Linked DNA regions of Drosophila melanogaster. The protein of the gene in region 3 interacts with the protein of the main gene of each other region in a pairwise test. Each region holds a gene or a part of one and is shown on either strand. Other genes may lie near its edges.

Region 1 (3,782 bases), about 16 Mb from region 3:
GGCACAAGCCGAATTCCAGCCACATATCTGCCGCCACTGAGTGATCCTGGCTACGATAGAACCATTCGGAATGCGAAGACTCTGTTCTTCAATGAAATCAATCAATTGGCCTTCACCGACAACAACGTCTTCGAGCTCGATGATGACGAAGTCGAGAGCTCGAGGGTCAAGCGCGAGTTGAAACTTGACGAGGATGACCTCCTGTCTAAGAGGATCATAAAGCGCGAGTCCAACCAGGAGCACAATTCCGAACAAGAAGTGATTTCCCTGACCCTCGGAGTTAGAACTGGCATCAGTGTGAAGTAGTCGTTGAAGGTCTAGTAGACTGTAAGGCATACAAATATTATAATATCATCATACACCGATATGTATTTACCTAGAATGATATTCATTAAATATAAACTATGTACAAATGTAATCTCTTGAATCAATTTTGAAATTATGCTTAGACAGGGTATCATCACTTACCTATTTACGGTTATTAATTTTGTGTACAGCAAATCTCTTGTACTTTAATAATTTAATTAAATATTTTAGTAATTATGTGAGAACAATCGCTTGAGTCTGTAAAAGAAGTTGGTTCTAAGACTCGGGATATCGGCAATAGGAATTGCTTTCGATGGACTCGTGCGGAATCCACTCCTCATACAAGGGCAATCGATTCTTCAGGGTCTCGATCTCCCGCAGAATCCGCATCACATTTCCCCCAACCAGCTTCTTAATAGCAGCATTGCCCCACACCCTATCCCTTGCCAGTTCGGCAAGTAGGAGGGCATAGCTCTTCGGAGCTCCTCCAAGTCCAATGTGATCCACTCCGGCTACCTTGCGCACATAGTTGATTGCAGTGATGGCCTCGCGAACGCCCAGTGTCCGATCGCCACAACGCTCCAGGTTGAGCAAGATTACGCCTCCATTTTCCGGCAATAGGCTGTGGGATATATACAATTAAGAGATGTCCTATAGGACTAAATGAAAGCTCACCTGAGGACGTGGTCTGGAATGGAAGCAATGTTGCTGCTATTGCACATGGACAGCGGTGTGGCATTCGTGAGTAAAACAGGAGCTTTGGCAGTTTTCAAAACAGCCAACATGGCAGCCTCGCTGAGCATCGAAATCTCCACCAGCATGCCCAGGCGGTTCATCTCAAAGAGCATGGTCTATAAAAGAAATAAATGAATGAATAAATACTATCACAATGGTTGTGCCCACCTGTCCAAATTCGTTGAATGAATTCGTAACATTTTCCTCAACAAGATAATCGGGTCTCCGGATTGCTGCCGCCGCCCAAGGAGTGGTGCACTCCAGGCTCGTAATCGAGACGAATCGTGCTCCCAGCAGGTAGATGGAACGCAAGACGGCCGTGCTGGTGCCCAGAGCATGGCCACCACTGATACCCATGAGAACAGCCACCTCGCCGCGGATGTGAGTCTGCTCCATTTCATCAGCTGATTCGACGATGTGCATGGAATCTGTGGCGGCGGTAATCCGCTTGGCCCTATCAATGCCCTCCAGTGTGAGCTGCACGGCATCCAAGTACTGAGCTCCGCACGGCACAGCAATGGGCCAGAGCACAGCACCGATGTGATTCTGTCGCACCTCGAAGAGGTTGCTGCTGTTCAGGCTCATGGTGCTCGGTGGCTTCCACGAGCCCTCGATCAGTGGAGACTCCGTCAGCAGGCGGCGGATGAAGGCGAGTCGGGCCTCCAGGAGCGACGAAGAGCGCAACTGGAGGGCCAGCGGAATACCACCCGCCATGGCAATGCACACGAGCACCACACCAACGCCCAGCAAAATCTTTCGTCCTCGTGATCTCTCTGGTCTCTCCGCAGAGGACTCGCTGCAGGAGTCCTTCTTGGAGCTGTACGTGGGGATGCCCCCGTTGGAGCACCTAATCTTTTCATTTCCACCTCCGAACTTGGTTATCTCCGCGGGCAGTTCGATGTCCGCTATCTCCGTGAATACAAAACATTGCTGCTTACAGTGTGGTTGATGCTGGTGCAGCGGATGAACCTCCAGGAACTCGCGGCTCGGTACGGGATTCATTGCATCGTCTGGTTCCCAAACTCTTGCCTACCCGAGGTTTCCTACCGTAGATTGTGATTCAATTCAACAAGCTTGCACTGCGACGAAAGCTCGAAACTGGGATACTATCGATTTTTCCTGTGTGTCCTGTTCAGTGTTCACATTTTACTCACAAGGACATGCGCGCTGGATAGTTATTTTGTTTAGTATGGCAGCATCCCAGCGTGAGCGGGATAAAAGTGTTTTAAACATGTAATATTCGGTATAAATTGTTGTTTTTTAATATAGTTAAACCCTTTCTTCTTTTAACCAAACAAACATTTTTGGGCTTAAAAGATTTGTAAGCGACTCAATGTTTAATTAATAACGTCTTAGATCTATTTGTAAAAGCTACATTTTAATTTTAATGATTAATTACTCGCATTAACCGACTGACGTTTATAGTGTTTGATATTTAACTACTTCTTGTGCGCCTCTATGACGATTTTCATCAGCTTGTGTGGAGGTAAAGATTCCAAGAGGCACAGCAGCTGGATCTGATTGGTGATGCAGTTGGAGCTCAGGGCGATTTGCACTGCTTGGGCGAAGCGTTCCATGCACTTCTGATATGCGGCATCCGCTTGGGGATCGGTTTTTGATTCCGCCAGCCGTGCGCAGTAGCTCTGCAGGGATTTCACGATCTGCATAAGATCTTGACTGGGCAGCGCTGTCGATTCCCCACTGCTGACAAGCTGTTGCAGAGCACGCAGGAGGGATAGATGCAAATTGCTATAGGCGGAACGGTTGGAGACCAACGGCGCCAGGACCACCCATCGAAGCAGGCCTGCTAGGGGAGTGGTAAAGGGCATGGCTATGGCTCCGGCGGGCAGGACCAAAGGCTGCTGCGAGGCCTGACACAAAGTGGGATTCTCCATCATCCATTCGGTTATGGTGTCCAGCAGAGCATCTGGCGGTGGATTCAATGTCGGCGAACGCTGCTCATTGAGGTACAGATCCGCCACGGCGACCATAAAGTTGGCCGCAAAGTGCGGACCCACCATGGGCAGCTGCTTGAGTTGCTCGGGGGTTTTCCGGGAGTACGAGATAAAGTCGCTGACTATATTTTGGGCCACTTCCAGGCTGAGTGGCGTCTTGCACCCCACCTGTTGCATCCATGTGCCGGCAGAGGAGAGCAGCGGGGCCACGGAGCCGGAAACTGCTGTGCTGATCAGCCGGGACAACAACTTGGATCGCTGCGGTGTCAAGTGGCTTCCGAAGAGCGACAGGAATATGGCGTTGCGGGTGGCATCTCTTCCTGGTCGCGAAAAGTACTCAATCAGCGCTATGATCAGCTGGAACTCCTGGAACAGATTCATTTGGCTAATGGGCAGCGCCTGCGACTTTCGCACGTCGCCATCCTTCGGGGTTCTTTCCAGGAATATGAACTCCGATATAATTTGCATCACCATGTTTTGCTTGTTCCTGCTGGCAATCAATGTTTCTGCAAAATTAAAGCGTAAGAAATGCTTGGGATTTAAAATAAGCAACTTTACCCAGTCGCGTAAGTGCCTCCACCGCACAAGTTGGATAATTATCCAGCTTCATATCGCCCTTCCGTAGCAAGAGCTTATTGCTGTCTATCGACATCGACATCCTCTAGTCCTTTATCTTGTACAAAGCAGTGACAGGTTTTTAAGAATGTATGGTAATGCAACAGAAAAATAAAAACAAACCGTGGAACTTTAGAGGTGGCAGATATTCCGATTGGCAGCTCGATAGTC
Region 2 (4,664 bases), on a different chromosome or scaffold from region 3:
CAAACAGCCAGGCAGCCAAGCAGCCGGTCACATGTGTGATCGGGGGTACAACATCTTGTGTCCATATGTTGCACAAACAAACAGAAACCGTGAAGCCACGGAAACAAGAAAACCAGAAAACCGAAAAACAAGGAGAACTGAAAACCGAAGGGAATGTGCCAACGAACGCATCTTCAGACCAATGAAAAACAAAGAAAACATAATCCGAAAAGCTGAAAAAGAAACCAAAACGATACGGGCGAGTCAAAAAAGCTGCGAAATGATATTTTCTCATCTGTTGGCTGCCGTTTTGTGCTTTAATTTTTTTTTTTTTTTTTTTCTTATTCGCTTTGCAGTTGTGTTGTTGATGATGCAAATATTTTGACAGTTTGTTTGACAGATATCGGGGCACACAACGGGGCGTGATGTGATGAGCGATATACAAGCCAAGGGCCAAGAAGGGTGGGGGGTGAGGGATCGGATACCCTTGGAAAGCCGGAAAAGGGCCATCGAATGAGGACCCATCTGTCGATGTAAACAGAGCAGCACAATTCGCTTGCCAGGCGAATATCAGTTTGAAGCATCAGAAGTTGCCATATGCAGTGAGTTGTACTTTGCGCTTCAGACTTTCAAGAAACACTATGGAATCAGTGGCGAGTTGCACAGTTTGCCAAAAAGAAAGGAATGGTGACATAACGTATGGTGTTTAAACTGATTATTGATAGCTAGCATATGTGCTTTTCAGTCAAGTTCAGCTATCAATTTAAAAACGAATAAAACCCAAGATAAACGATATCGAATGCCCCAAGGGGCACCGTGCCACCTGATCGTATGCGCAATGTCCGATGACCGGCAATACGCATACGCCGGATGGGCAAAAGCGGAGGATGGAGCTATCGTGCTGCAGCAGTGACCTCGTTTGCAGTCCGATTTGCAGTGGTTCCTTCTTCAAAGTGTGGCTCCCATTCCCGTCCCACTCCCAGTCCCAGTCCCACCGATAAGCCCTGAGCAGGCGACATAGCCCCCGTATGTATGTATGTGTACATGTGTTCGAATTTGGCCTCATTTACGCAACTTCCGATGTGATAAAAAGTGTGAGCGCTGCAGCAAAACAAATCGAATGGAAACGACATGCTCGACAAAATCAAGCAGAGTACCAGAATTGTCCAGCAGGTACTGCCGTCCGTTCACAAAAGCCATTGAAACATTCACAAACGTTCAGTGATTTTAAATGTTAATTAAAGAAATTATTTCATTGCAAGCAAATGTCTGTGGGCAACATGTCATTAACACGCTGATAACGCGCTATCATCAAAGCTCATTATGGTGGAAAACATACACACACACACTCGCACACACACACACAGCGACCCCTCCCTCCTTCAGGCACAAAGATAGAATTTGGAACTGAAACAATCGACTTCTCATAATAATTGGCAAAGCCATCCGAACACAATCGCATCAAATTCAAAAGCCAGCATCTGAACTCGATCCGAATTTGTGAAAAGAAATTAATTCAGCGTCTGTTTTTTCGAGAGAGTGATAACCTGCGATGATGACCCCGGCCCAATGGACTTGGTGATCTATTTTTTTGGCCTCTGCTCAACTCGAAATCCGGTCCTTAACATTGTCCGTAACCGAGCTCCGAAACCCTGAAGCCTCGAAGCCCGGCTCAACTTCCTAATTTGATGGCGAGTGGAGGAAAACTATTTTCCAAACCACTTACAATAAATACATTTTTATGCTAATCACTGGTGGCGCTCGTTTTGTGTCTGTCTGTCCCGCCTATTGGGAAAAAAAAACAATACTCGTATGTGTGTCATGCTAAATAGTTCAAGTTCGTCGCGGAACCCAGAGTTGTGTCATCCGGAATAAGAGATCATTGGGTTACCGATCTCGAATGGGATGTGCATCAGCTGATGGGCAATGGTCATGTGAATGGTAAGCGGCTGTTAGGATCATGTCACCGAATAGAACTAATCAAATTGTTAACTGCATTCCTGGGCCTCAAATAGCAATGTAATAATTATAATACTACATATCCCAACAAGAGGGTCGAACTCACCTTGGCATTGGTCAGCAGCGGTGCGTGGCAGGCGGCGAGGACGAAGGTCACGGCAAGGAGGCGCAGGAGCAACGATCCTCCCGCTTGACCTCTCCGCCCGCTTCTGATTCCGACCGAGGTCGCGATCGCGGACGCTTGGGATCCCGGCGATCCCATCATCTCTTTTCCGGGTAACGGCGGTTTTGGTTTCTTTTGGCAGCTATTTAGGTTTGGCTTAGGTACTTTGTGAAGGCAGTTTCGGTTCGTTTTGTTTAGTTTGGCTTTAAACGGCTGGCAGGTTGTGGTTACGGCTATGGCACTGCACGGAGAAAAAAAGCCCCAGACATTAATTCGCAATTGAGCAACAATTAAGCGTTAGACAGAGACAGAGATAGAGAGCATCCTGATATTATGTTTCTGGGGATTTTTTTCTCCGCGCACGGAAAAAGGGGAAGCAAATCGGTGATTTGACATCAGCAAAATTTTTTGGCTTTGGTGAAACCAAATCCGAATTAAAAACCAGAGAAACCGTCATGTTTCAGAAGTTTCTTCGAAAAATCCGAATGATCCCCTTTGATCATCTGTTCGCTCCTGGACGAGCCGATATTTGTTTCCCCTCTTTCTGTTCGCTTTTCCGCCTTTTCGCTTTATTTTCTTGTTTCATTCCTTATTCTTTAGTTTCGTTTCACACGCGATGGACACTATTCGTATTCGTTGCGAGTATGGGTTCCTTTTTGGGATCACACTAGTTAATGAATGAAAAAAAAGGAGCAGGGCTTGGGTTTTTGTTTAAACGTTGAACCGATATCACCAGGATATCTTGTCGGGGATTTTCAAAATTTCGGCACTTCGAGGATGTGAGAGCACTCAAAAAAAAAAAAAGACAAACGCTCCCCACAAGAGAGTCAGAGTCACACAGAAAACAAAGGGACAGCACACCGTGGAATGTGCGACCGCCTGGAACGATGGCGCGCAACCTAATGTCTAAGAACCGTTGCTGCGATTCCCATCGCTGCCTCTGCTCTGCCGGCGTCGCCCGAAGACGCACGAAGGCCGAAAGCGCGACGGAGCCGAAGCGATTTGCGTGCTCTTGTTATTGTTTAACGGCGCTTAATGGCCATTGCAAGCCTGTTGCGTCGATGCACCGCACTCTCTCTCTCCCTTACCCTCTCCCTCTATCCCTCTCTCGCTCACATGCGTGGGTGTCCGCTTACGCAGAGTTAGCTGCGCCTGCTCTCTCTCCTCTCGCTCTGCCTGTCCATCCTTATTTGCGGAGCGTAGTCGCGATTTAGCCAGTCGGCTAAAGCAGCATTTAAGGCCGTAACGATAGAAAAAAAAAAGTAACTATCACTTTAGTTGGATAGTAAGCCCCCCCTCCCCCATTTTTTTTTACTCAACACCCGCCCAAGTGGCTCTCGCTCTCTGGGTCAACTGATAAACAAGTGAAAACCGTTGCTCCTTGCTCTCTTTTCACCTTTCGTTGTTGCTGCGGCAGCCGGTTTGCAAATTATCCCACTCACTCCCACGAAAAGCGGCGCTCTCCTCGCACATTTTTTTATTGAAGTTCTTTGAATTTGACACTCAAAAAAAAAGGAGAGTCCAATAAAATGCTGATGCAATTCGCGTAGGAAAGCCAAACACCAGTGAAAACGTATTTGAAACACGAACTTTATAGCCTTTACTCGCTGTTCCTACGAATATTAGTGTTTATGGACAATTAATTCTTGGCGCACCTAAAACATACATACAACCATGTGAGCAAATCATCTTAAATGTGCAGTCATCGGTCTAAAATTGATGCAAAGCACTATTTTAAATATTCAACACAATACAAGTTTGGCAGGACGGACATCCATGTGATATTAGCATTTCGGGCTCGTCGGCTTTGGCGGTTAAGTCGGTTTGTCAACTGGCCATAGGACCGGCCACAATCCGTGACCTTCAGCCGATTTAGCCACCACCCCCCCCCCCCCTGTCAACACCACCAAAAAGGCGGCTTCCCATTGGCGCCTGACCCAATGACATCCGAAAATGACGCATGCGTGAGGGTGAATTACCGGACTTGGATGCCGACGCCCCACATGGAGGACCAATGGACACGTTGCGATTTTTTAGGGCCCCATCTCCTGGAATAATTGGCCCATTCCTCAGGTTCGTTTCCCTGTTCCTCCCCTTTTTCGCCTTTGCTAATGTAAAATATATTTAATATTTAAATGGTGAACGCTCACAAGTGGCCACAGCTTCCGTTCGCAGATAAGAAAAGGTACTAAAAATACACGCAGAAAATTGTTGAATACGCTATTGAAAATAATGGCAATGGTCTGTATACACTTGGAGAAATTAGCTAGATAGACACCAAATACACAAATACGTGCTTAATATTGAGCTTTGCCTAGGTGTTAAGTTTATAAATTAGTGATAAGATAACATTATAAATTTTAGTAAAATTGTGCACAAATTCATTTCAATGTTTTATTGGTCGCAGTGCGATTCTTGAACATATTTTCTTCAATTGAAAAGCAATGACATCTGTTCGACTTTCGTAGCACTTGTTTTTTCAACTGCTCAAATCATTTAATATTTAGACATGTGTGCACTCTCGAGCATTTCATTCAATTTAGGGAGTCAAATGTTATCACAT
Region 3 (3,774 bases):
TCAAGTGAGTTTTTAATTTAGTCAATTACTTTTCTAATGCGGGTGTGCTTCGTTTGTATTTGCTTGACTCTTAATGACCAAATTTGTGCTATTACAGCGATATCGATTACCTAGACACCTGGCGCGAAATGGAGAAGCTCGTGGAACTGGGCCTGACCAAGAGCATCGGCGTATCCAATTTCAACTCGGAACAGTTGACTCGCTTGCTGGCCAACTGCAAGATCAAGCCAATCCACAATCAGGTGCGTCAATTGTGGTTATGCCTTGGGTTTCATATTCCTAATAGACCATTTTCCAGATCGAATGTCATCCCGCGTTGAACCAGAAGAAATTGATTGCTCTGTGCAAGAAGAATGACATTGTAGTGACCGCCTACTGTCCCCTGGGCAGACCCAATCCAGCAGAAAAGACGCCCAACTACATCTATGATGCCAAGGTGCAGGCAATTGGAGACAAGTACAAGAAGTCCACCGCCCAAGTGGTGCTCCGATATCTGGTAGGGATTACGAACTAGGTTTAATGAGAACAAAAACTCTTTATTAACATAATGTTTATCGAAATAGATTGAGATTGGAACCATCCCATTGCCAAAGTCCTCAAATCCCAAGCGCATCGAGGAGAACTTCCAGATCTTCGACTTCCAGCTGGATGCTGAGGATCATGCCATTCTGGATTCCTACAACACCGGAGAACGTCTGATTCCCATGACCCACGCCATCAAAAGCAAGAACTATCCATTTAACATCGAGTTTTGAGCTGGAAAGCAGGAGCAATGTTTGATATTAATTAAAGTGGTTGTTAAATCTGATATTTTGTGTACATATACATATGTTTTTTAAAAATAAACACCAATAATAATTATTTTTGAGATCTTTTTTCATGTTGAAATATTTATGTTTATTTTGGAGATTTTTATATAACAAGCACACTTATTTTTTTTTTTTTACATAATATCGCATTAGTTTTACTTTTAAGCATTTTGATAGTACGTAATTCTTCTATTTTAGTCTTATCACTTGAACTGTTTCTTATTTGCAGTCAAGGGTGTGGCAAATATTTTAAAGGGGCATAAAATATAATAAACATTTGAAGTCATCTATGAAAACAATACGAATTCATTTTGTGATTATATACATATAATCTTAATTAAACAATACCCTTTTTTGGACACCACTGCTGAACATTTAATGATTTGAGAGAGAGCTTTTGCTCGATCATTTAGTTTTTAGTGTGGGCTTGGCATGGAAAATTCCACTTAATCAAAATCATTTGGTCTAGTACAATTTCGCCAACACTTGTCTGAATTCAATTATTCACAACTGCAAGGCAGATTGCAAAAATGAAAAGCTATAAAAGGGAAGAGAATATAAACAAACCCACATGTAATAGGTAAATAAACAAAACTAGCGATAAAGTTAACCGAATCAGCTTTGCGCGCCACTCAACTATCAAGCTATCGATAAGTGTTTTTCAAAAGTGTTCCCACATATTTTTAAATGGGATTTTACACATGATTTGGTTTGGATCATTTATAAAAAATATGTGTTTAATTTATCCTTATTAAAACATTAAAATAATGCATTTAATATATTGGTTAGCACACTTAGAACCTACGCTCCTTGCGTCTCTATAAACTATTTCCAAGTTTCTCTGCCAGCTTGGCCGTGTTTTATCTGCAAATGCAAAAGGTCTTTTGAAGGTTCTATGGGCCCATTCGAAAACCTTATAACAGAGGTGAAGCGAGCAACCCAAGCATTCAGTGTTCAACTTTGTAACCGCGAAGATGACCGGGAAAGTGGAGTACTACTTCAAGCACAACGACGGAACCCATATCCAGGGAATCGGACTGGGCACCTTCGCGGTATGACATTGACTGGTTGATCATAGCATATCCGATACGGATCAGGAATGTCGCCTATCAGTAGCCGGGTTAACGTCATTTGAAGAACCGCTAACGTTATTGATGACTTGTGATTTCAGTCGACGGAAGGCGATTGCGAACGGGCAGTTCTCCACGCGATTGATGTGGGCTACCGGCACATAGACACCGCCTACTTCTACGGAAATGAGGCCGAAGTGGGTGCGGCGGTTCGGAAGAAGATTGCCGAAGGCGTCATCAAGCGGGAGGACATATTCATCACCACCAAGGTCAGTTGGCAAGTTCTTATAGCAGGCATATCATAAACTAATCCTTAAGTGGCCACATATTTCCGCAGCTCTGGTGCAATTTCCATGAACCGGAAAGGGTGGAGTATGCCTGCCGAAAGACCTTGAAGAATATTGGCCTGGATTATGTTGACCTCTATCTGATTCACTGGCCTTTCTCCTATAAATATCGCGGTGATAACGAACTGATTCCCAAAGATGCCAATGGAGAGGTGGAACTTGTGTGAGTAAAATGAATAATATATGAAATATTTCGAATCGATTGGCACTTACAAGTGATTGTGAAATGCGCCTTCTATTATCAGTAATCTTACTATGCCGTTTACTTGCTTCAAACTACAGAGACATTGATTACCTGGACACTTGGGGCGCCATGGAGAAGTTGGTTGACCTGGGCCTGACCAAGAGCATCGGAGTGTCCAATTTCAACGAGGAGCAACTGACGCGCCTGTTGGCCAACTGCAAGATCAAGCCAATCCACAATCAAGTAACTTAGTCACAGGATGTTCCCTCCAGTTTCTCAACTCATATTGTTCTTTCTGCAGATTGAGGTACACCCCGCGTTGGATCAGAAGAAACTGATTGCCCTGTGCAAGAAGAATGGAATCCTGGTGACCGCCTTCAGTCCACTGGGCAGGCACAATGCCGAGTTGAGGACGCCCACCTTTATGTACGATGGCAAGGTTCAGGCCATCGCAGACAAGTACAATAAGTCCATTGCCCAAGTGGTGATCCGATATGTGGTAAGGATTTTCGATTTAGGCCTTATGTTGAACCGGATTTCTCATGATGAATTCTAATTTCAGATTGAGCTGGGAACCATCCCGCTGCCCAAGTCCTCCAATCCCAAGCGCATTGAGGAGAACTTCAATGTCTTCGATTTCAAGCTGGATGCTGAAGATCATGCCATCTTGGACTCGTATCACAATGGAGAACGTGTTGCCCATGCCCGACAAGCCATCAAGAGTAAATACTATCCCTTCAACGTGTATAGTGCTTGTTTTTGATACAACAAATATATTTAAGTTATTATGATTAATAAATAAATAGTAACCCTTGTAAGGGAATGCCCAAAAGCAAGAAGATTTCTAACGTCATTTACAATCGGTAAGTATTTTTCGTAAGTGTTTTGTATATGTCTTTTTTGGCCTTATCATCACAAGTACTTCCCATTGATATTCACATGGATTGGTTAATAAATCAAACAGCGCGGCACTTTTTTGTTCCAGTCATTCAGTTTTTTCTTAGAGAATGTATATATTTCTTAATGCAAAAATTTAAAAACTGATATACTTTTACAACAAAAGTGAAAACTTTTATTTTTGATTGTATTTAAATCGAAGTTGTACCCGTATCATAATGCACAATAGAACAGATAATAGAAAATAGGGTAGCGGATCCATTATGAAAGTCAAGTTCTCGATAAGAAAAATATAAGAAGTCGATTGTTTTACCCAGCTAGCTGTGAAAATAGGAAATAATATGTTTGTATTAAAATCTACCAATGTAAATAACATTAAAAGCTTTTTCTCTGCTGCATTTAAAATAAAATTGAAATGATCAATGTCATGAATAGAAAAATGTTACAGCGAATATTTTAAATTTCAA

What was found.
Region 1: the proteins of CG12766 (region 3) and CG5282 interact in a two-hybrid assay, tested with the Drosophila melanogaster proteins (one large-scale study listed by BioGRID).
Region 2: the proteins of CG12766 (region 3) and trol interact in a two-hybrid assay, tested with the Drosophila melanogaster proteins (one large-scale study listed by BioGRID).

The regions. Positions count from the first base shown.
Region 1 is NT_037436.4:20,423,917-20,427,698, forward strand, and holds CG5282 (uncharacterized protein), read right to left. Parts: upstream 2,156-3,782; 5' UTR 2,044-2,155; coding exon 1,210-2,043; intron 1,158-1,209; coding exon 982-1,157; intron 929-981; coding exon 583-928; 3' UTR 508-582; downstream 1-507. Other genes in the region: zye, read left to right, coding at 1-306; CG5274 (uncharacterized protein), read right to left, coding at 2,481-3,502, 3,555-3,654.
Region 2 is NC_004354.4:2,542,421-2,547,084, forward strand, and holds the start of trol (terribly reduced optic lobes), read right to left. Parts: upstream 3,008-4,664; 5' UTR 2,963-3,007; intron 2,489-2,962; exon of another isoform or gene 2,343-2,488; 5' UTR 2,204-2,342; coding exon 2,045-2,203; intron 1-2,044.
Region 3 is NT_037436.4:3,938,094-3,941,867, reverse strand, and holds CG12766 (uncharacterized protein), read left to right. Parts: upstream 1-1,742; 5' UTR 1,743-1,783; coding exon 1,784-1,861; intron 1,862-1,980; coding exon 1,981-2,148; intron 2,149-2,216; coding exon 2,217-2,389; intron 2,390-2,508; coding exon 2,509-2,653; intron 2,654-2,711; coding exon 2,712-2,909; intron 2,910-2,972; coding exon 2,973-3,173; 3' UTR 3,174-3,244; downstream 3,245-3,774. Other genes in the region: CG10863 (uncharacterized protein), read left to right, coding at 1-4, 98-242, 299-496, 564-755.